Schizosaccharomyces pombe: one gene and its partners. The main gene of each other region encodes a partner of the protein of the gene in region 4 in a complex. Each region holds a gene or a part of one and is shown on either strand. Other genes may lie near its edges. The genes, in order: mrpl20, mrp20, mrpl19 and mrpl38.

Region 1 (6,396 bases), on a different chromosome or scaffold from region 4:
AATTCCCAAGGCCCTGTAGATGACTCTAGCTTGTCTCAATTGGAGAATTTGCTCCCACCTTTGCAAATTTTGACTGCTAGAGCCGCTATGGCTGCTATGAACATGTCGAATGATACATCCATGTCTGGAATGAACATGACCAACAGTACGACACCCATGTCTGGAATGAACATGACCAATAGTACAACATCCATGTCTGGAATGAACATGTCCAACAGCACAACATCCATGTCTGGCATGAATATGACTAATACCACTACAACCGCAAAGGCTTCTTCTTGTAAATTATCCATGTATTGGAACTGGTATACTATCGATGCTTGCTTTATTACCAAACATTGGCATATCACCAGTAAGCATATGTTTGTCGGTAGTATTTTCGGAATTATCTTCATGATGATGGCATTGGAATTGGTCCGTCGCGGACAAAGAGAGTTCGATCGTTGGTGTGTCCGTAGATTTTCTCCCGCTAGCAATTCCTGCTGTCATTCGGGTGCCCCTGTTCATTCTGGTCCAAGCATGGCCCTTCGAATCTTTCTTCATTTTCTTCGGTCCTGCTTTTATCTAGTCCAGTATATTGTCGCGTATATCGCAATGTTACTCGCAATGTATTATAATGGCTATGTAATTTTATTTCTCTTTTGTGGCACCTTCTTTGGCTATTTCCTGTTTGGTGCGGATACCATCTCTACTAAGGCCTCTTCATCTGTTCAAACGAAAACGATCGTTCAAGTCGCCGACGAAAAACACGAACATGATTCCAGTCAATATTCAGACACAACACCTACAACCGAATAGCTTGATTATCTCTAAATTTGGTTTAGTATTCCCAATTTCATGCACCTCACTCATTTTCAGTGCTGAAGCGTCTGATTAATCATAATCGTCTTCGCTTTAATTTCTTTCGCACAGTCACTGATAGTTTGGAAGAGGATTCTTTGATGAATGTTGAAGCCACATATTACATGTCCATGTTGGAAAGACAAAACAAATTCTGGTAATTTGTCTTAAGTTTTTACAAAGTAATAAAAGTTTCAACAAAAATAAATAGATGCCACAAGGTAACGCTTATCTTTGTTAGTTAAACATTCAAATTAGAGTATATAGCAATTTGAACAGATGTAATTCGTTCCTTTTTTTTTTTAACCATGATTGTTTGTTTTCGACTTTGAACCTGGAGGTTAATAAATATTTATTATTATAAAGACTGACATTAACACGATTCAGTACCTTTATGGTATCTTAAGGTGATCACTTTCTATATATTTTTAAATGAGTTTGTAATGACATGGTGCAACAGAACTACATAAGATATTCATCAATCACATTTTTGACGTTCAGAAACCATTTGTCGATATCTCGGAAGATTAATTCCAACAGCAGATCGTATTAACAAGACATCCACAATACCATCCTGCCGCTTTCTCCCAACAATGTTGAGCCACTCATGCTTTTGAATAGATACATCAGGTAAAACTACTGTAACATCACAAGTCACGCTGCTTGATCCATCAATCAACCGTAGAATGCCATTCTTATATGATTGCACGCATCCTAAAAATCGAAGTTTTTGGCCGTCCTTACAATCGTTAATTTGATTAATGAAGATAAGTTTAGCACTATCCATCAGCTGCTAAATATATTGTAAAAAGGAGAACAAGGAAAGATGAGGGAAGGTGGTATAGTTTGTGTTTGGAAACTGGGTAATCGATTGAAATATGAATTTCGTAAATGAGCGACTTAAGATCGCAGCTTTAATTAAGAAAACGTAGTTTGACTTTTTCAAAAGGAAAAATTTGCATTAATCCTTAAAATGTGCAGAAAGACTACACTCTCGTTTGCAATAGTAAAAGCAAAATCTAATAATCGTATAGTACTATCAGTGAGGCATATTAGATTGATAAATAGACCAACATTTCCATTATTATTATTTATGAATTGGTTTACTTGAGCAACTCCACAAAAAACGCAAGCATGGTTCTTTTGATTAGTTTTTATAAATTAAGTCAGATGGAATATAAAAAGAGAAAAATAAATGCTTTGGCCGGGAATCGAACCCGGGTCGAATCGATGGCAACGATTCATTATACCACTAAACCACCAAAGCTTCTTGAAATATCTTGTAAACTTGTATAATATAAGTAGCTATTAACGATAACGATAATTATTTATTATACCATTATAATATTGATTAAAATCAAGCAGAGAATTGGAAACATGTTCTGATGTAGTTGTTTAAGGCCTTATAAGAAATCAATAGTTCTTGTAATAAATTCCGATTTTAGTTATAGGGCCAATGCGGCTAATATTCACTTGATAAATTGAAGCTGACTGTAAACAAAAGGTTACCCCTTACTTAACCATTTGATATTATAATTTACATTGCAAAAAATTTGGGTCAGTTTGAAAAGGTGTGTACATTTCCTAAAAATCTATGGAAAATTGAAAAAAATAAAATAAATTTAATTTAATATTTAAAATATCATGCTTCCAGTATTCAATATAATCGGTATTTAAATTGAACCATGAACAGATTAGAAATGGTTTAAAAAAAAAACAGCAAAACAAAATTGTATTGAATTTATCCTACAATCAAAATGCCGTTAACAATATTTTTTAGCTTGAATCTTCCGATTTCTCTTAATAAACCGTCAAAGTGCCAAAAACCAGTTTTAATATAACGAATTATATAATATACATTTAAGGTGCCATAAACACACTGCATTATACGTATTGAAACTAAGAGTGTGGATACTGTGCATATAGAGACTGCTAAACTCCAGGAAACCCGCATTTGGAGAGTAATTTCGTGTTTTTACTCGGAAAATTGCAAGCCTTAATACGATTCTTGTAAATTCAAAAGTTAGAACTCTTCCAAGTGATTTTTTGCGTGTTTTTTTGCTGTTTATTTTTTTTTTGCATTGAGCTCTTTTGTCACGTCGTTGCTATAGCTTTTAGGCTTTGAGAATCTTCGTTATAACTAATATTATTTGAAGTGTGGGTTTATCCAAAAGGCCCTTTACAGTTTTTTGTGTTATAACCTTTTCTCAAAAAAATTTAAAGCATCATTTCTAAAGCGACACCAAAATTAAAATAGTTGAAAGAGTAAAAACATGTTGTTTACAATCAAACCTTCATTTTTGAAGCCTGTAGGCTTCATTCAGACTCGGAATTTGAACCGGCTATACCCTAAACAACGTATTCCTAAGCGACCTAAAATTCCTATGGGTTCCAAAATAGCAGAGGTAACTGAAACTACATCTGCTTATTACAATCCACCAGCGTCTTCTCCAGATGTTAGGATTACTCCTCCTGTTTTTCGCTATGATGCACCTCCAATTCATCAGCGTGATACCTCACTTTCCAAAGAGTCAATGTTTCTCCCGCCGGCAGTTAGCCGAAAATCGAAAAGCAAAGGAAAGTTGAGGTTTTCTACTCATCAACTGAGTAGTGAAGATATCAAATCCATCCAAGACTTGAGGACGAAAGATCCGAATGCTTGGACAACTGGAACACTGTCTAAAAAGTTTAACACAACTCGGTTACTAATTTCACGAGTTTGTGAAGCTCCCAAAGAAAGGATTCAAAAAGTTGAAGAAAATTTTGAGGCTGAAAAACTTGCCTGGGGATCAAAGAAGCGTGAAATTCGCCGACAACGTGCATCTCGTCAAGCATTCCGTACATTGGAACGAGTAGCACAGGTTTAAAATAATTTAATAGTTTTTGGGATTCTAAAACTCTGGTTTTCAATAAAGCTCTGATGCACATGCGGAAGCGTTTTTGACTGCATTATTTAATGTTTCAATCACGTTACAAAATACTCGAGTGATTTGAAAGTTCCTTGGAAAATAATATTAGTTTTGAAGCTTTTCAAAAAAAACAGACATCTTCATTCTTCTTTATTTCTTAATTTACAAAGGCTCTCTGGCATTTTACGAATTATCCTTTACATTTCTATCAACATTTACGCACATTGGTCTGCATATCGCGAATTTTTGTCGCAACCTTTAAAATGTTATTATACAGGCACGAACTTGTTTTACATTTTTACCTCTCCCTTCTCATGTACATATTTCCTTTTTGGAACAAATGAGGAAATTTTTCATTTCAGCTTAGTAGGCTCGGAAATCCTCAATCATAGAGTATGTTGCTTTTGTAACACTCAAGCCAGTTTTTTTTTTTTTTTGGTTTTATCTTTTAACTATTACTGAGAATATACAATGGTGTACATAATTAATTGGGTCAGCGAGCAGTAAAAAAACATCTTTATTTCCTCTTGTACAGAGAGCCCTTTCGTTCAAACCTCAAGTGGTGAAAATAAAGATATTTTTTCGGCTTTTAAGCAGTTGCTATTTAAGATTTCCAATCGACATCAACCGTTTATAAACACTCACGAGATACTTACTTTTGCAAGTTTCCTCACCAGCCATCATCCATCCATCTCCTTAGGACAATTTGCATTCTACGGATTTCATTAATACATCCATCTCTAGCTACTATTTACTTATATTAAAGCTTTGTTTCGCCGTTTTCTACTTTTTTGAAGCTTGTGTGACTATACGTGCTCTTCTTTGTTGGCCCAATTTTCCAACGATCGTCTAAAGAAACATGCGACCTAGTTGAGGAATTTTGCTTTAAGACATTGTTTTTACAGACTCTAACAAGCTTAATTTGTATGGTGGACACAGCTTTGTTGTAATACTGCATACTGCGATTCTCAAATCCTACACTCCTCTCTCCTCTTCTCTCCTTGTTACTTAGTACCTCGAGAAGTTTTGGGGTGACATCAGTCAGACACAAGAATTATATGATGGGTGGGTGGGTTAATACGTATATGAATGATCTCATTTACGTTGCCGTATTGTGCTACTAAAAGTGTTATATATAGAGCAGTGGGAAGTAGAAGTGAGCACTCTTATTAACGATAAAGTTGTGAGTTGAACAAAAGCGACTTACTACTTTGAAATATTGTTTTACTTTACAATTGAACATTTACTAGTGTTCAGGAAAAATCTAATTTTTTTTCGTGCGCTCGATTGAATATTATATCAATCCTTTGTGTTGTACGGAGAAAACCGCTTTTATATAACCTTTCGATTTATTAATTTTTTTTTACTCGGTTAATTCACGAAATCCTAATCGAGCATCATGAATAGGCGTGTTACTCTTGGAGCCTTGGCCGCTGCTGTTGGTGTTGGTTATTATATGACTCGCCATAATCGTCAGGCATCTTCCAGATTGGAACAGAAGAATGCAGAAATCGTCAGAGCCGTGGAAAATGAGGGTCAACGATTTGACAAAGCTGTTGGCGAAACCACTGAAAAGGCAAAATCTTATCTCCAAAGTGGGAAGGAGAGGGTTGTCGATGAACTCGACAAACCTCGTGAAAACGTAAAAAATGTGTTGTCAGAGGCGCAAGCCAAGGGTACTGAACAAGCAGAAGCCCTTAAAAAGGGTACCTCAAAATGGTTTTAAATTGGAAATCCCCAATTCTCGCCATTTAGGGTTATGTGGCAATACTTTGAAAAAATACACACAGGGTTTGTTGTGTATTTGAAAACGTAAAGTGCCTAGCATTGGCTCGTTCTATACCTGCTATCCATTAAGTGTTCTTGTTAATTGTTCCAAACGTATTGCCAAACATTCCGGATCACATCTCGGCAAAGTCGGAGAGATTAAACGTTGTTAACGTTATTCTTTTTTATGTTATTATTAGTTTCTTCTCTCATAAACCAACTGAACCCAAATGATTAGCGATGACAAACAAACGACGATTCCATGGGTTGTCAAAAACACCCTCATAGAAGTTTGCTTTTTTTTGTACAGATAAAAGCGAATTTTTAATTGAAATAATGTTTTTCATGAACGCATAAATGAATGATTGAAATTTTTACATGCATGATTTTCCATTATAGACTGTAAAATGATATTTAAAGTAAGCGATGTGGACTAAGAGTAGTGATAATGCATATGAATACATGCATAGTTTGGATATTATAGGTTTTTCCTAGTTTCCATTATTAAAAAAATAAAAGATTGAAAGGAGTGTTTTGCTTTAATCTGCTCTAGTAGACAGAGTCAAAATTGATATATTTAATAATATTCAAGATGAAGAGATAGAACTCATCAAGTTCGCTTAGATATAACCTTAGCTTACGCGAAAGATGAGAATACTGTAATGCATAGTTTTTTGTTAATTTGAGACAACGAGAGGTATGGAAAATGCCCCTCAGGTGAATTCTCTAAATAAGCTAAAAAGTCAAACGCAAAAAAATGCATTATGCCGGTTTATAGAAGATAAACTTTTTTTTGCTGACAAATATTACGATGGAATTGTCGTTTTGACATTTCTTAGCCGTCGTACCTAATGCTTCTGACTGCTAATCAAGCTCTAAA
Region 2 (5,281 bases), on a different chromosome or scaffold from region 4:
GTTTCGTTGCATATCGTTCAAAGCTACGTTCAACTGCCTGTAGTCAGATACTCAGTACTTGTTACATTTGCATATTATCAATATTCCATGATTTCGGTTAGTATTAATATTCTATTTGTAGCTAACTATATTAGGGATTGTTTATTTTTAACCTGAAAGGTGACACGCTCATTTGCAAGACTTTTCGGCATGATTTAAAGTATGTAGATTACATTTTTGTGCTTTTGATTCATTTTCACTAATTTTTCATTTGAAAGGAAATCAGTAACTGAAATTTTTCGCGTTGCTATTCTAACAAATACTGATTATCGGCACCCAATTGTCAGTATTGGATCAAGTACTTACATTTACACGAAACACGAGGATCTTTACGTGGTTGCCATTACCAAAGGAAATCCAAATGTTATGATTGTTTTGGAATTTTTGGAGAGTCTAATTCAAGATTTGACACATTATTTTGGGAAACTGAATGAAAATACAGTCAAAGACAATGTCTCCTTTATTTTCGAGTTGCTGGATGAAATGATAGACTATGGTATCATTCAGACTACTGAACCTGACGCACTTGCAAGATCTGTCAGCATAACAGCTGTCAAAAAGAAAGGCAATGCACTGTCCTTGAAAAGGTCTCATTCCTCTCAGTTGGCACACACCACTTCCTCTGAAATACCAGGGTCTGTACCATGGCGTAGAGCTGGCATTAAGTATAGAAAAAATAGTATCTACATTGATATTGTTGAAAGAATGAATTTACTTATTAGCTCTACTGGAAATGTGCTACGCTCAGATGTTTCTGGTGTCGTGAAAATGCGTGCAATGCTTTCTGGAATGCCTGAATGTCAGTTTGGGCTAAATGATAAGCTTGATTTTAAATTAAAACAATCAGAAAGCAAGTCTAAATCAAATAACTCTAGAAATCCGTCCTCAGTTAACGGAGGATTTGTCATTTTAGAAGATTGCCAGTTTCATCAATGTGTTAGATTGCCGGAATTTGAAAATGAACACAGAATTACTTTCATTCCGCCGGATGGTGAGGTTGAATTAATGAGTTATCGTTCACATGAAAACATAAATATTCCTTTTAGAATTGTTCCTATTGTCGAACAGTTGTCGAAACAAAAAATTATTTATCGTATCAGTATACGAGCAGACTATCCACACAAACTTTCTTCTTCTTTGAACTTTCGGATACCGGTTCCCACAAATGTGGTAAAAGCTAATCCTCGTGTAAATCGAGGAAAGGCAGGGTACGAGCCCTCTGAAAATATTATCAATTGGAAAATTCCCCGGTTTTTAGGCGAAACTGAACTTATTTTTTACGCTGAGGTAGAGTTATCTAATACAACTAACCAGCAAATATGGGCGAAGCCTCCAATATCCTTAGATTTCAATATTCTTATGTTTACCAGCTCCGGTCTACATGTGCAATACTTAAGGGTCAGTGAACCTTCTAATAGCAAATACAAAAGTATTAAATGGGTAAGGTACTCAACTAGGGCTGGAACTTGCGAGATACGCATTTAAGAAGTATTGTGATACAAAATTATTATTTTATTAATTGACGACCGTGCTTTTCCGACATGAAAAGAATTTCCAAAATAGTTTTAGAACATTTCAAAATGAAACAAGTGGCGTTGAAAGTTTAATAGATGAAAGAAGAGAGGTTATAATGAATGCAATTAAACACCATACCGCTTCGATGAGGCATTTGAGGCTATAATTATGCTTTTGTAGGCATTAATGAATAGACGGAAACCAAAATAAAACATTACCTGGGAAATGAAAAAAATACTAATACTTTTTCTTTAAAAGTCTAGCGATTTTCTGTTGTGATTCGAGTATCTGCTTATCTTGTAACTTACTTAACTCTTCGTTCACCCGTTTCATGTCAACTTGTTCAAGGACCTTTGGATACCTGCTCAGGGTTTTCACATTAGAACCATCAGGAAGTAATTCACCCTCCTGCCAATCTTTCAAATCATTTGGGGCATTTGGGTAAACGAAAGGTTCTTCCATCTCAACGATGACGCGTTTTTCAGATTGTGGTCTCTTAACCTGTCCTAGTTGATTTCTAAAAAGTTTGCCCTGATAAATTCTTGACTTAACTGATACGACTTTTAAATTGTACACATGTTGCAAATAATCGCGAACATCAAACTTGTTAACATGAAGAGGTACGCGAAATACTGCAAATTTAGGTTGAAGATTTAGTCCTCTGCATAACGTGAACGTTATATTTGGAAAGTACACTAATCTTTTCCCAGCAATTTTACTCATATTTACTATTGAGTTTCAACTTCAAGGCTAAAGCAACTTGTGCTAGTTATGCAAAAAAAGAGAAACAAATGGTTTTTCTCAACAGTAGATTTCAAGATGAATTTGATGTCAACGGCCTTAGGTAAACGATTAGTTATTAACCATTTGTTGGATTACGGAGTTCAAATGTTGTTTAGTACTAACGTGCTGAGAATCCGGTTGCTTTATTGCATCAAAGCTCAGTTGTATACTATTAACAAATAACGTCTCTGGTTGTATTATCCTAGAACGTAATATATGTAAGCTACGCAATTTGGTATCTGATTTAAGGATACGTAGAACTGCGGTGAGTTTTCCTTGTGATCTATTATATTGTAATACGCAAGTAGTATAAGTAGGAATTGGATATAGGTATTCTAATATATAGGATATATCGTTATCTATAGCTGAGATATCTTATAACTGAACTGAGGAATCAAATTCAGTTGTTCTCAATTTATAACATTTGAAATAACAAGGATTATAACTGATAGTCATCTTATCATAAATGATATTATATCCTTCTAGATAACTTATCATGTAAAGCTGATAGAGCAAATAGAACATTATGAACATGTGACATATAGTGATACACAACGTAGTATATCGTAGCGTAGTGTAGTATTGCTGACATATAAAGCAGCTTATTTCAAGTTCGTTATAGTTTATTAAAATACGTTGGATTACTTATTTTTAATATAAAGAAACGCAGCAGAACAATTGAAATGAGAATGTTAAATCAAACTTAAGAAGGCCCTTTTGATAGTTGTTATTCATACGGTAAATTTTCTTGCCAGCGACACTAGAGAACTAAAAAATCAACAAAAGTGCAGCTCACTCGTCTTAAATGTCCGGATTCCAGACGTCCGACGAGGTCGATATATCAAATTCTTTAAAAGCTTTTCCTGTTGATATTGCTACTGATAATCAAAAAGATAAGCACGAAAATGTTGGTGAAAATGTGAGCGATGAAGATGATGGTAATTATATTGCCTCGAAGCTTTTGGAGTCTAACAGGAGGACGAAGGGAAAAAAGGGGAATGGAAAGGCTTCTAATTTCCAATCGATGGGTATGTTAACTTCGTGATTACTTGCCATAAGGTCACTTTGCATTATGCTTCAAGACACTGTAATCTAAATTACTTTGATATTTTTCTAACTTAATTATAGGATTGAATCAAACTTTACTTCGAGCAATATTTAAGAAGGGTTTTAAAGCTCCTACGCCGATTCAGCGCAAAACGATTCCCCTTTTATTGGAAGGTCGTGATGTTGTAGGTATGGCACGTACTGGATCAGGTAAAACTGCAGCTTTTGTTATACCTATGATTGAGCATTTGAAGTCCACTCTAGCAAACTCTAATACTCGCGCCTTAATTCTCTCGCCAAATCGAGAACTTGCTCTTCAGACTGTGAAAGTCGTCAAAGACTTTTCTAAAGGTACGGATCTTCGATCTGTCGCTATCGTCGGTGGCGTCAGTCTAGAGGAGCAATTTAGTTTGCTATCCGGAAAACCCGATATTGTGGTCGCAACTCCTGGAAGATTTCTACATTTAAAGGTGGAAATGAAATTGGAGTTGAGTTCAATCGAGTATGTCGTTTTCGATGAGGCCGATAGACTTTTTGAAATGGGTTTTGCTGCTCAATTGACAGAGATTTTACATGCTTTGCCGACTTCTCGTCAAACTCTTCTCTTCTCTGCCACACTTCCACGTACTCTTGTTGATTTTGCAAAGGCTGGACTTCAAGACCCGGTTCTTGTACGCCTTGATGTAGAATCCAAGGTTTCCGCGGATCTACAAAGTGCCTTTTTTTCTGTTAAAACCGCTGAACGCGAAGCTGCTCTCTTATGTATACTACAAGATATCATTAAGCTTCCTCTAAAAGATAACGTGCGCCCAAGAGAAATAGGAAATGTCAATAATCCGAAGAAAAGAAAACGTGCATTAGAATTAGCGCTTAAAGGAAGTGAATCTGGATCACCAGATTCTACTCTAGTATTTGTTCCTACAAAACATCATGTCGAGTATGTTTCTGAGTTACTTGTTCAAGCAGGATATTCGGTTTCAAAAATTTACGGGTCTTTGGACCAAGAAGCGCGTCTCAATGAAATTAATAATTTTCGACTTGGAAAAACAAATTTACTAGTCGTTACAGACGTAGCTTCTCGTGGTATTGACATCCCATTACTTGCTAATGTTATTAATTATGATTTCCCTCCTCAACCAAAAGTTTTTGTTCACCGTGTAGGACGTACAGCTCGAGCAGGACGCACTGGCTGGGCGTATTCATTGGTTAGAGCAGAAGATGCTGGTTATTTATTAGACTTACAACTATTTTTAAACCGACCTTTAGTTACATCCTCGAAGCAGGTTAAAACTGACTCGGATTGTGATTTTACAAAACAGATTGTTTTGGGATCATTACCCCAAGAACTTGTTGCTGAGCTACTAGAATGGGTACAAAGAATAGTTTCGAGAGACGTTGAGCTACAGCAACTTTCCAACGTTGCTGCAAGGGGTGAGAAACTATATTTTCGCACAAGAGCTACTTGTAGTGCTGAGAGTGCTAAAAGAGCTAAGGAATTGGTTGATAGCAAGGGCTGGAGTTCCAACAATCCATTATTTGGAGATGTATCGGTAATTGAGGCCGAGGAGAAATATGCTGAATTGCTTTCAAAAGTTTCTTCTTATCGGCCATCAGAAACAGTATTTGAAATCGGTCAGCGTGGTCACTTAAAGACAGAAGCTGCAGAAATCATGCGGAAAAGAAGAAACAAAGTAAAACCAAAAGGAATAAAATCTGAAGTTGCATCTGATAAAATCACTGACAGTTCTCCTGGTAATATGTCAGAAGCTTCAGAGTCAGAGCTTGAAGAGGTATTTAAAAATCCTAAGGAGTTATCAAAAAAGAAGACAACTGATTTTAAAGATAAAGAGTATTATATGTCTCATTACGCTCCAAAGGAATCTATTCAAGAAACTGG
Region 3 (4,843 bases), on a different chromosome or scaffold from region 4:
CATGCTTCAAGCCGTTTTAGAGCATTATCCGGATGCTCAAGTATCATATAAGTATACAAACCGGTCCCCAAAAATGGCATTAAATCAGGAGGCTTATAACTGGTTACGGGAACAAATAAGAGGCTTACGGAATTTACATTTACTTCCTGAAGAAGAGCAATGGCTTCGCAAGAACTGTCCTTATTTAAAGGAATCATTTTATGAATTCATGCATGAGTTCGAATTTGATCCTGAAAATTCAATTTCCCTTAATTATGATTCTGAAACTAAGGATCTCTCAATCTTTATTCACGGCCTCTGGAAGAATACCATTTTTTATGAAATTCCACTGCTTGCTCTCGTCTCAGAATCTTATTTTAAATTTGTCGATAAGGACTGGTCACCTGAGGGTCAGTTTGAAAAAGCTTACGAGAAGGGTAAGCGTCTCATCCGAGCCGGATGTGCCTTTACTGACTTTGGCACTCGTCGTCGTCGTGATCCTCACACCCAGGAAATTGTTCTCCAAGGTCTCATGAAAGCACAAGAGGATTTTAAGGGCCCTGGAAGTTTCCTTGGTACATCTAATGTTTACTTCGCCGCCAAATATAATCTAAATGTCTCTGGTACGGTTGCTCACGAGTGGTATATGGGCATTGCAGCTATTACTCAAAATTATAAACAAGCAAATCGTATTGCTTCCTTAAAGTGGGTCCAAACTTTTGGTACTAGTCTTTTAATAGCCTTAACGGATACATTCTCTACTGATGTGTTTCTCAAATCTTTTACAGCCAATTCTGCCGACGATTTAGCCAATGTTTTCCATGGTGTTCGTCAAGATAGCGGTTGTGCTGAGGAATACATTGAAAAAGTCGTAAAGCACTATAAATCAATAGGTGTCGATCCTTCCACAAAAGTAATTGTTCATAGCGATGCTTTAAATGTTGACAGATGTATCGAACTGTACAAATACTGCGAGAAATGTGGCATTAAGTCTGCATTTGGCATCGGCACAAATCTTACCAGCGACTTCCAAAAAGTTTCCAATCCCAGTGAAGTGAGCAAACCTATGAATATTGTTATTAAGCTTTTTTCCGCTGAAGGAACTAAAGCAGTGAAGATTAGTGACGATATCATGAAAAATACTGGTGATCGTGATGCTGTTATTCAAGCCAAGCATCAATTATGCCTCCCTATAGCATAAGCCATTTCTTTTATTTTCGAGCGTTTCTGCAGTACTAATCTTGGTTTTTTTTTTCTTATTTTTTGATAGATAGACAGAGTTTGAGGCTCTCTTTTATTGAGCTGCATTTCATAAGGCGTGACTTAGAGTAAACATAAAACTCACACTTGAAAATCTTCATTTTCTTTTCTGCTTAGCATATCTGTTTCGTTATCTATATTGATAGTTTAATGCTAAAGGTAATCATTTAGTCTAAGATGTGTTTGTAAACTAACGGTATGCAATTCTTTAATTTTATATGGCAAACGTGTTTTTTTACTTTGCTTGTTTAACGAAGGAATAATATAAAACAACTAAGAAAAGGAGAAAATAAGAAAACAGGGACAACGTTTTAGTCGGTAATAGTAAAAAGTCATATCATTAACTGCTTTTATTCAAGAAAAAAGAGGGGAATAGTTTATAACAAGATAGAAAAAAAAATAACCTCAAGTATGACCAGTTACAAAATGCTCTGGCGTCTCATAAGATTAAGGTACGACTTTGACGCCCATGCTTTTAGCTGTTCCAATGACACTTTTACAAAGAGAAAGAAGCTCTATTCCTTGTAAGCTTGGATCAGTACTTTTCAATTTGGCAATTTCATATATATGCTTCAAGCTTAATTGTCCCTTTATATCATGTAATGGGGAACTTGAACCTTTTTCAAGGTCGAGGGTTTTAGAGATTAACCAACTGGTTGGAGGAGTATGTATAGTGAAAGTAAATGTTCTTTGAGGTGTGACAGTAATTTTACAAGGCACTGGGGTATTTGGCATCCAACCTGCCGTCCGCGCATTAAATTCTTTACAAAAGTCTATGCTCTTCAACCCGCGAGCACCAAGGGCAGGTCCAATTGGAGGCGTAGGCGTAGCTTTTCCTGCCGGTACAATTAATTTTATGATTGTCGTTCTAGTAGAAGCCATAAGGTTAAAGAAGAAAATACAGTTGTAAGTTGTATGTCTCTCATGCAATAAAGTAACATGTTCTTCCTTAAAAATAATTGTAATTAGAATAATAACTAATTTGAAATATTTGGGTGAATTAATTGTAATGTGTTTACTTATTTGTAATATTAAAGCTTTTAATAGCAGTCAGAAAAATTCCCGAATAGACCAAATGTGTCCTTCTCTTCTGCTTGATTGAATAGAAGTAAAAGTATTGACATTAAATAGGCAACTCAGATAAATGGAAAAGACGTTTTCATAAACGTTGTTCGTTTTAGGATTTTTTTGAAAAATTTTAGTTGATTTTTGAATCTCAAATACGGATTAGTTAAAATGTCGCAAAATTTTTCATTTGTTGAACAACAATAGCGCTGAATTGAAGCCGTTTAAAAGAAGCAAACCAAAATTTAGCTACATAGCTTTTCAAAGTTAACTCCTTACTATCAATTAATATATTAAGTTTTTAGGGATTGGCAAATATCCTAACTAAAAAGCATGATTATTTCATTTGAATCACAAGCTGAAATTAAATGGTCTTTTCTCAGCTATTTTATTACTTTCAATAAACATTTTACATACCATTTTATGGTAAACAAAGTAAAACACATGTTTACTGGAAGTCACAGTCTGTCACTAGCACATGCCATCGATATGTTTCTTTTTCCTAATGTGTATTGTAATTAAAACTATAAAGGGTTTTCACCTGAAGTGCTTGGGCTATGTAGGAATGCTGTCACGCGATGCAGCTTGAATAATTAGTAGAAATAAAAAGATTTCAAAGTGCAGATTTCTATTAAAACTCTACTCTTAAAATTAATTATTACAAACCAACGACTATCTTATTAATTTCCATCCTAACATGCTGAGTGAAGTTTGCCATAATCATCTTAACCAACTTGCTATTTACTACACATTCTTAACAATCCATCGTTTTCAGCGAATGTAAGGATGTTAATAAATTAAAATGCTTTTCTATCGATTTAAAAGTTGGTATAGGCTTCAAGCCAAGAAAAGTCCGTTTATTTACGTTGGATTGCCGTTTTTGAGCTCAGTATTATTAGTCTGGTCATGCTTGATCCCCATTTCCCAAGTCAAATTTAACAGACGAGATGAACAAGTTAAATCCTTGTCCCGGGATGCAGAGTTAGACATTATTAAAAGAAGAAGAAAGGTCGACGTTAATGAAGAATATTATGTAAGTAAAGTGCTGATCTTGTTTTACAATATTTAAGTTTTGGCAACCAGCTGCAAAGTGCATTTGCTTTTCGTGAATTTACATTCACCAGTTCCTTTTTTATTAACCACCTGTTATAGAGGATCTTATTAGATCAGTTGAATCTACAGAACGAGGAGTACGAAAATAAACGTGTAAAGAGGTTAAAAGGGGAGCCTACATGGGAAGGAAATTCAAGCGATAAAGAATGAATAATGAACGATTTTATTGTTATTTTGTTCCTTTATTTTATTATTAATTATGGAGTATTGAAAAGGATACAAGTTTTTGAAGTGAGAATGCTGAAGACGACTTTATGATACAGAGTGTTTTAGCATATGGAAATACTCAAATAAATAAAGCAAGAATTTTTTTTTCTAACATGAGAATAATATTTATGTGGCTCATATATAATTATCTTCAATTTAAAGGACCAAATACTTACACTTAAGCATATTCAGTAGAATAAACTTTCAATGAAGATATTTGAGCGTAAATTTCACTATGAATATGTCACTCAAGCCTAAAAGCGTTTTAATAATAGGAGCATTCAGAAAGGTTTCTTTACTAGTAAACGGTTTATTTTTGGCTTTCCGTTATATATAAGTAACTTGTTAAATAGAACTTGTTTTGAAAGCAATCAAATAAGTGCCATCTCTCTTTATTATATGCTTTGGACCATTACAATTACTAATGATACTAACGCATGGTCTGATTCTATCTACTGTTTGTCTAAGTTGTAAAGAAGCCTTTTCGAATGCGTTTACAACGAAAGATGGAGGAGCTAAGGACAGTATTCAAATAGTGACACACTGTTAATAAGGATTAAATTTAATATTAATTTCTTCTTTATAATGGTAATACTTGGTATTGCATCGTCTTTAAGTCATTGAAAATTATATATATTATCCAGAAGCAGTGAACAAACTAACGCACTATAGTAAACAAAAGATCTCCAATACCCGTAAAAATTTATTTTTAGCGTACGACTAGTTTGGATTCCTGGTGAACGTTCTTATGTATAAGACGGCGTGATATTTGCAAAGCTGATTTATTGCATAGGTGATATTAAAATTATACAAGCCGAGATATCATATTCGATTAATCTAAGTTATCACAAGCGAATCCACTTAGTTAACAATCTACCACAACTTATAAATGGTTTTGTTACTTGCTAACTATGCCGAAGATATGTACATATTTGCTAAATTGAAGCGTTTAACGAGTAAACCAATACTTTTAAACAATAAAGATTTCATCGATTTTTTAGCGTATGCTATATGCAAAAAATTGGTATTTGACCCGCTAATGTTTACTGACATACTTGTGCAAATACTTATGAGGCATGAAATTGAAAACTTATTCAGATGAAATGACTAAATTTTACCCTTTCCCCGAAGAACTGTAAAATAATTATGAAAGTTCAGCTATGTCATCGATCTATTACTCGATGAGCTATTGCACTAAATTGCAATTTTTTGTGCCATA
Region 4 (4,519 bases):
CCATAAGTTTACCTGAGGTTGCCAAGAAAGAGCGTAATAGAAGCAATAGTACAAATGATGATTACTCTTCTACTAGACTTCCATCGAGTGTTTTACATCGTCTTGAAGCCCTTAAAGAAGCGCGCAAACTTTCTGAGCAATTACCAAATCGAATTTTTGCTCAAGATCCTCATCCTTCCCCTCGTTTGAAAAAAGAAGAAACGCATGAAAATGGCTCCAATTTGACAAATGACTCGGTCAACAGCTACTTCAGTAACATTGGAGGGAGTGAGGTTGAAATGAAGCACTCGGCCTTTGAAAAAACTTTAGAGTCGTCTAGGGGCATATTGTTTTCGCTTTCGCAAGTCCAACAAGCCCTTCGTCAGCAACTTCTTTTTTGCAGCAACCCCGTTGTTTTAGATTCTATGCGTCATGTGTTACATACTGCCAATGTTCAAATTAAGCGGCTAATTCTGTGCTTTGAGGATACCCAACAAAGCAATGATGGAACTGCAAACATTAATTCCATAGTAAACGCTTCATTGTCTTGTATCAGCTCGTTTCGTAAACTAATTGAAGTGACAAAAAAATTTTTAAATGAGCTCACTAGTCGTGCGGATGTCCGATATGTTCGGCTTTTACTGCTAATTCTTTTCGATGCTGCAAAGGAGTTACAAAACGCCTTGGTACCATTGAGTCCATCACAACCCCATAGTGGTAATAACATATTCGCCGATCAGGTACGTCAATCTCCGACAAGTATGATCCGGACTGCATCTGGGCTTACGAACAGAATCGTTAGCGTTGAAAAACCAGCATCAGTGATGAATCCTGAAATTGATAAACAAATACAAGATCAGGTCGCTTTAGCAACAAACAGTGCAATGTCAGTTTTGACATTACTAATTGATGCTGTTCCTAAAAATAACCAGCCTGATCTAGTAAATGAAAACATCGCACCCAATTTGATTAGTAAGTTACGTGAATTGGGATCATTATCCGCCGCCGCCTGTGATGTTACTAGAAAACTTAAGCATCGCCTTCTAACTTTTCAAACGAATCCGGAAGAATTGGAATGGCAGCTTTTTTTGGACGACACTCAAGCATTTGTCAAGTCTATTATTGCAGTCGCAAATTTAGCGAAAGCGTTATCCAGTGAATATACATTCCAAAAAAGCGTATTAGCTGGTCTTTCAGCTGCAACAAGATCTACAAAAGATCTTACTATCTTACTTTCTTCCTCTGCTCGACATTACACTGAGTCATCTTTAGCCACTCCTGTTCCTTTGATGTCCCCAATAGCCCGCGTACCTGCAACACCGTTGTCAGCGGCTCTGGGTTCGGCTGCTCAATCTATTACATCTCCTCTAATCATGTCACCAGCTGCAATTCCGGCGTCAGCCTATAGTACTAATAAAATCGATTACTTTACTGACGCGGATGGGAACGTGGAAGGTTTACAGCGCTAAAGAATTTTTTAATGAAGATTGATGAGGAATAATTGGTAACTCGATAACTCAAAAGCCTACAAAGACTATAAATTTAATGATACAAAAAATGATGCACGATTGAATTTGATTAATTTATTTCTTATTCAAATAACAAAACCAAGGACAAATTGTAAAGGATGATGGTACAAGTAGTGATTAATCTGTTTCCACATGAAAATCATGTACAAAAATTAGACAGAGTGTGTAGTTTTGGGTAGGTACTCTTTGACAAGACAAAAATTTTTTCTAATTAATTGCTTTGCTTATTTTCAAGTTTCATTTCGCATCTTCTGATGATGTCTTCAATTTCATTGATTTCGCCTGAACTCAGTCTGTGGTACTCAATGCTGGAACTATCAGTTGGAACATCAAGTGCTTGAAATGCAAACTTTTTAGCTAAGGAATAGTTTCCCAGATAATATTGTTCTTCCGCTGCAAATTTTGATTGCTCTAAAATATAGGCTTCTTCACCGAGGACGACGCCATTTTTACTAAGATGCTGAATAATCTGTTAAAATCATAGACAATAAATTGGGAGTAAAAAATGAGTAACATACACCAAAACATTGAACTCTTGGAGTCCATCCATCAGTTTCAATGCTTACTTTCTGTTTTAATCGCTTATTCCGTTCAAGCTTTGACTCACTAACATCAAAATCCAAATCAATCGCCAGCAAATCCATTCTTACTAGAACATTAAATTCTTTTGATCGATCAGATATATTTAACAGATAATGGACTATATAATAAAGCCTGCTACAGCTGTATTTTACTAAAAAAGTGTGTAGTAAAAACCTTTTAACCCCACAATGCTTACGAGTAACAAAACTCCAAAAAAGCAAAATCTTAATTGGCTATCAGGTAAAAAGTGTTTGCTGAAGAGACAAGGTCCCTTAATTAGACGTAGAATAGAAAATTAAAAAATATATTTTAATTAAGTGAAATATTAACATTACAATACCCTTTTCAGATGGTTCGTGGAGCAAGAGATGCTATTTTAGTATGATGTTTTGTTCTGAGCTCGTTGGCAACGACTGACAAGATACGGGTTCCCAGAGGCTCACACTCCTTATTAACCAAGACGCAGGCATTATCATCAAAACGAACATAACGACCATCGGGTCTTCGAACTGGTGATTTCGTCCGAACAATGATAGCATGGTGGATATCACCGCGTTTAACTTTATTAGCAGCAGTAACTGATGAACCGCTTCGTGCCTTTTTTACCACTACTACCACTTCATCACCTGTTTTTTAAAAAAAGGTGATGTTAGTCGAATATAAACAAAAGATCACTTCGTGCTACTTACCAAGTGAAGCGAATTTTCCCGCGCGAACTACACGAATGCACTCAGCTAAGGTAGCACCCTTTTCCATCTTATTAGTACAAATAGTAATATTTTAAACTTACGGAATTGTCGATAACTTTGAGTATACCTTTAAGTCCGATCATTGCTAAAGATTCAAGTACTTGACCATACATTCACGTACTCGCTTCCACTATAAATTACACTATGCGTAATATTAGAATTTGGTATTTGACGTTAGTTGGCATATCGTAGTATGTAACACATCGCAAAATATATAAATAAAAACAACTGTTTGTATTAAAAAAAAAGCGATTTGATTAGATGCATTCAAATATGAAATTATTCCAAGCAAATTGTTTGTCATAACCTGTTATCTTGCTTTAACCTTCTGATGTTTTGCTTGTTACACATGTTTTAATCAAATTCTTCATCATGCATGGAGTTGTGGAATAGTCATTAAAGCAAAAATGTGATATTGACTAGCAATTGCTCTTATCATATTAAAATATCATAATGGATTGTATGCTACATATTTGATTTTGTATTACTCGTTAATTTTGTTGAAAGTGAGAGGAGGATTTGGACGTTAGTGAATCCATTTTATTTTTTGGAAGCAAATGAACTATCATTCTCATCTTTAGACGACGCAGTTTGAAAAAATGCTCTGCGATATGTTTACAGTAAACGCCTTACTAATTTGCGATCCGATTATGAATCTCATTAGCCGTACCCGTATCTGAGCTAGACACTACACCTTGTATCGAAACTTTTAAACTTCTTCAAAATTTCAACTATTACTTGTTAAACAGTAAAATAATATTGGATATCGCTCTTAAGAGTAATAAGGGTAAATAAATGGATAAATTAAGTAGACCGGAAATCAGGCAGCAAACTACTCAACAAATGTATGATGTTCCTGAAAACATCCTTGAAATTGATGTATGTTTACTTTATTATTTCGAAATATTTCTAATAGATGTTATTTTAGGTTATAAATCCACAAACTCACGGTATTGGAAGAAACATGTTTACTACTTATGAAATTGTTTGTCGGGTAGGTACCACTGAAATTCATCTTCTGATAGCAGATTATTAACTCATTTTTGTAGACCAATATGCCCTATTTTCGTCTACATAATTCTAGCGTTCGTCGACGTTACAGCGAATTCGAGAAATTTCACGATATGCTTGAAAGAGAGTCCGGTCGTGTTTCAATTCCACCACTTCCAGGAAAGATATTCACTCAAAGATTTAGAGATGATGTTATCGAAGAACGTAGACAAGGTTTGGAAAATTTTTTACGACTGTAAGTATTGAATGTTAATTTTGCCTTATTGCCCCAAAGAGCGTTTTAAATTGCACAAAAACTAATACATTATTATGTAGAGTTGCTGGACATCCTCTTATTCAAACCCATTCTCGTGTTTTATCTTCTTTTTTACAAAGCCCGGAATTCAAGCCTACGCCATAAACCCGCCGCTAACTTGTTTTTCTCCATTTTGCCCTCCAACTGTTAATTTTTGTCAATCTTTTTTTTTATTTTAAAAGAAAAATTTGGAAATCAATCTGTTACAAAGTTTAATTACCATTTAAAATACCTTAGGTTGTTATGAAGTAAGTTTTCTATTGAGGCTAAAATATAGCAAAAATCCGATTCATCTTTTCGCTGTTTTCGTTTTTTAATTTTAAAATTAACAAAAGTAGCTCCATTCGTCAAATTGAGCGTTTAAACGAGCAAGA

The links.
Region 1: mrpl38 (region 4) and mrpl20 share a complex: the UniProt entries of both Schizosaccharomyces pombe proteins name them as parts of the mitochondrial large ribosomal subunit.
Region 2: mrpl38 (region 4) and mrp20 share a complex: the UniProt entries of both Schizosaccharomyces pombe proteins name them as parts of the mitochondrial large ribosomal subunit.
Region 3: mrpl38 (region 4) and mrpl19 share a complex: the UniProt entries of both Schizosaccharomyces pombe proteins name them as parts of the mitochondrial large ribosomal subunit.

What each region holds. Positions count from the first base shown.
Region 1 is NC_003421.2:818,531-824,926, forward strand, and holds mrpl20 (mitochondrial 54S ribosomal protein mL58), read left to right. Parts: upstream 1-2,764; 5' UTR 2,765-3,113; coding exon 3,114-3,707; 3' UTR 3,708-4,947; downstream 4,948-6,396. Other genes in the region: Cu(2+) transporter complex subunit Ctr4, read left to right, coding at 1-798; telomere cap complex subunit Ten1, read right to left, coding at 1,319-1,627; SPOM_SPCC1393.12 (uncharacterized protein), read left to right, coding at 5,149-5,475. UniProt on the Schizosaccharomyces pombe protein: Component of the mitochondrial ribosome (mitoribosome), a dedicated translation machinery responsible for the synthesis of mitochondrial genome-encoded proteins, including at least some of the essential transmembrane subunits of the mitochondrial respiratory chain.
Region 2 is NC_003424.3:400,056-405,336, reverse strand, and holds mrp20 (mitochondrial 54S ribosomal protein uL23m), read right to left. Parts: upstream 2,452-5,281; 5' UTR 2,278-2,451; coding exon 1,792-2,277; 3' UTR 1,525-1,791; downstream 1-1,524. Other genes in the region: AP-2 adaptor complex subunit Apm4, read left to right, coding at 88-96, 135-199, 258-1,524; ATP-dependent RNA helicase Dbp10, read left to right, coding at 3,143-3,365, 3,466-5,281. UniProt on the Schizosaccharomyces pombe protein: Component of the mitochondrial ribosome (mitoribosome), a dedicated translation machinery responsible for the synthesis of mitochondrial genome-encoded proteins, including at least some of the essential transmembrane subunits of the mitochondrial respiratory chain.
Region 3 is NC_003424.3:3,204,414-3,209,256, forward strand, and holds mrpl19 (mitochondrial 54S ribosomal protein uL11m), read right to left. Parts: upstream 2,128-4,843; 5' UTR 2,122-2,127; coding exon 1,687-2,121; 3' UTR 1,549-1,686; downstream 1-1,548. Other genes in the region: npt1 (nicotinate phosphoribosyltransferase), read left to right, coding at 1-1,180; cytochrome c oxidase assembly protein Cox16, read left to right, coding at 3,107-3,337, 3,457-3,567. UniProt on the Schizosaccharomyces pombe protein: Component of the mitochondrial ribosome (mitoribosome), a dedicated translation machinery responsible for the synthesis of mitochondrial genome-encoded proteins, including at least some of the essential transmembrane subunits of the mitochondrial respiratory chain.
Region 4 is NC_003423.3:3,549,751-3,554,269, reverse strand, and holds mrpl38 (putative mitochondrial ribosomal protein subunit L38), read right to left. Parts: upstream 2,927-4,519; 5' UTR 2,923-2,926; coding exon 2,881-2,922; intron 2,838-2,880; coding exon 2,780-2,837; intron 2,717-2,779; coding exon 2,436-2,716; 3' UTR 2,379-2,435; downstream 1-2,378. Other genes in the region: leucine-rich repeat protein Sog2, read left to right, coding at 1-1,448; SPOM_SPBC887.08 (uncharacterized protein), read right to left, coding at 1,720-1,968, 2,027-2,152; sorting nexin Snx3, read left to right, coding at 3,635-3,718, 3,768-3,833, 3,889-4,085, 4,166-4,250; RNA-binding protein Cwf29, read left to right, coding at 4,389-4,393, 4,484-4,519. UniProt on the Schizosaccharomyces pombe protein: Component of the mitochondrial ribosome (mitoribosome), a dedicated translation machinery responsible for the synthesis of mitochondrial genome-encoded proteins, including at least some of the essential transmembrane subunits of the mitochondrial respiratory chain.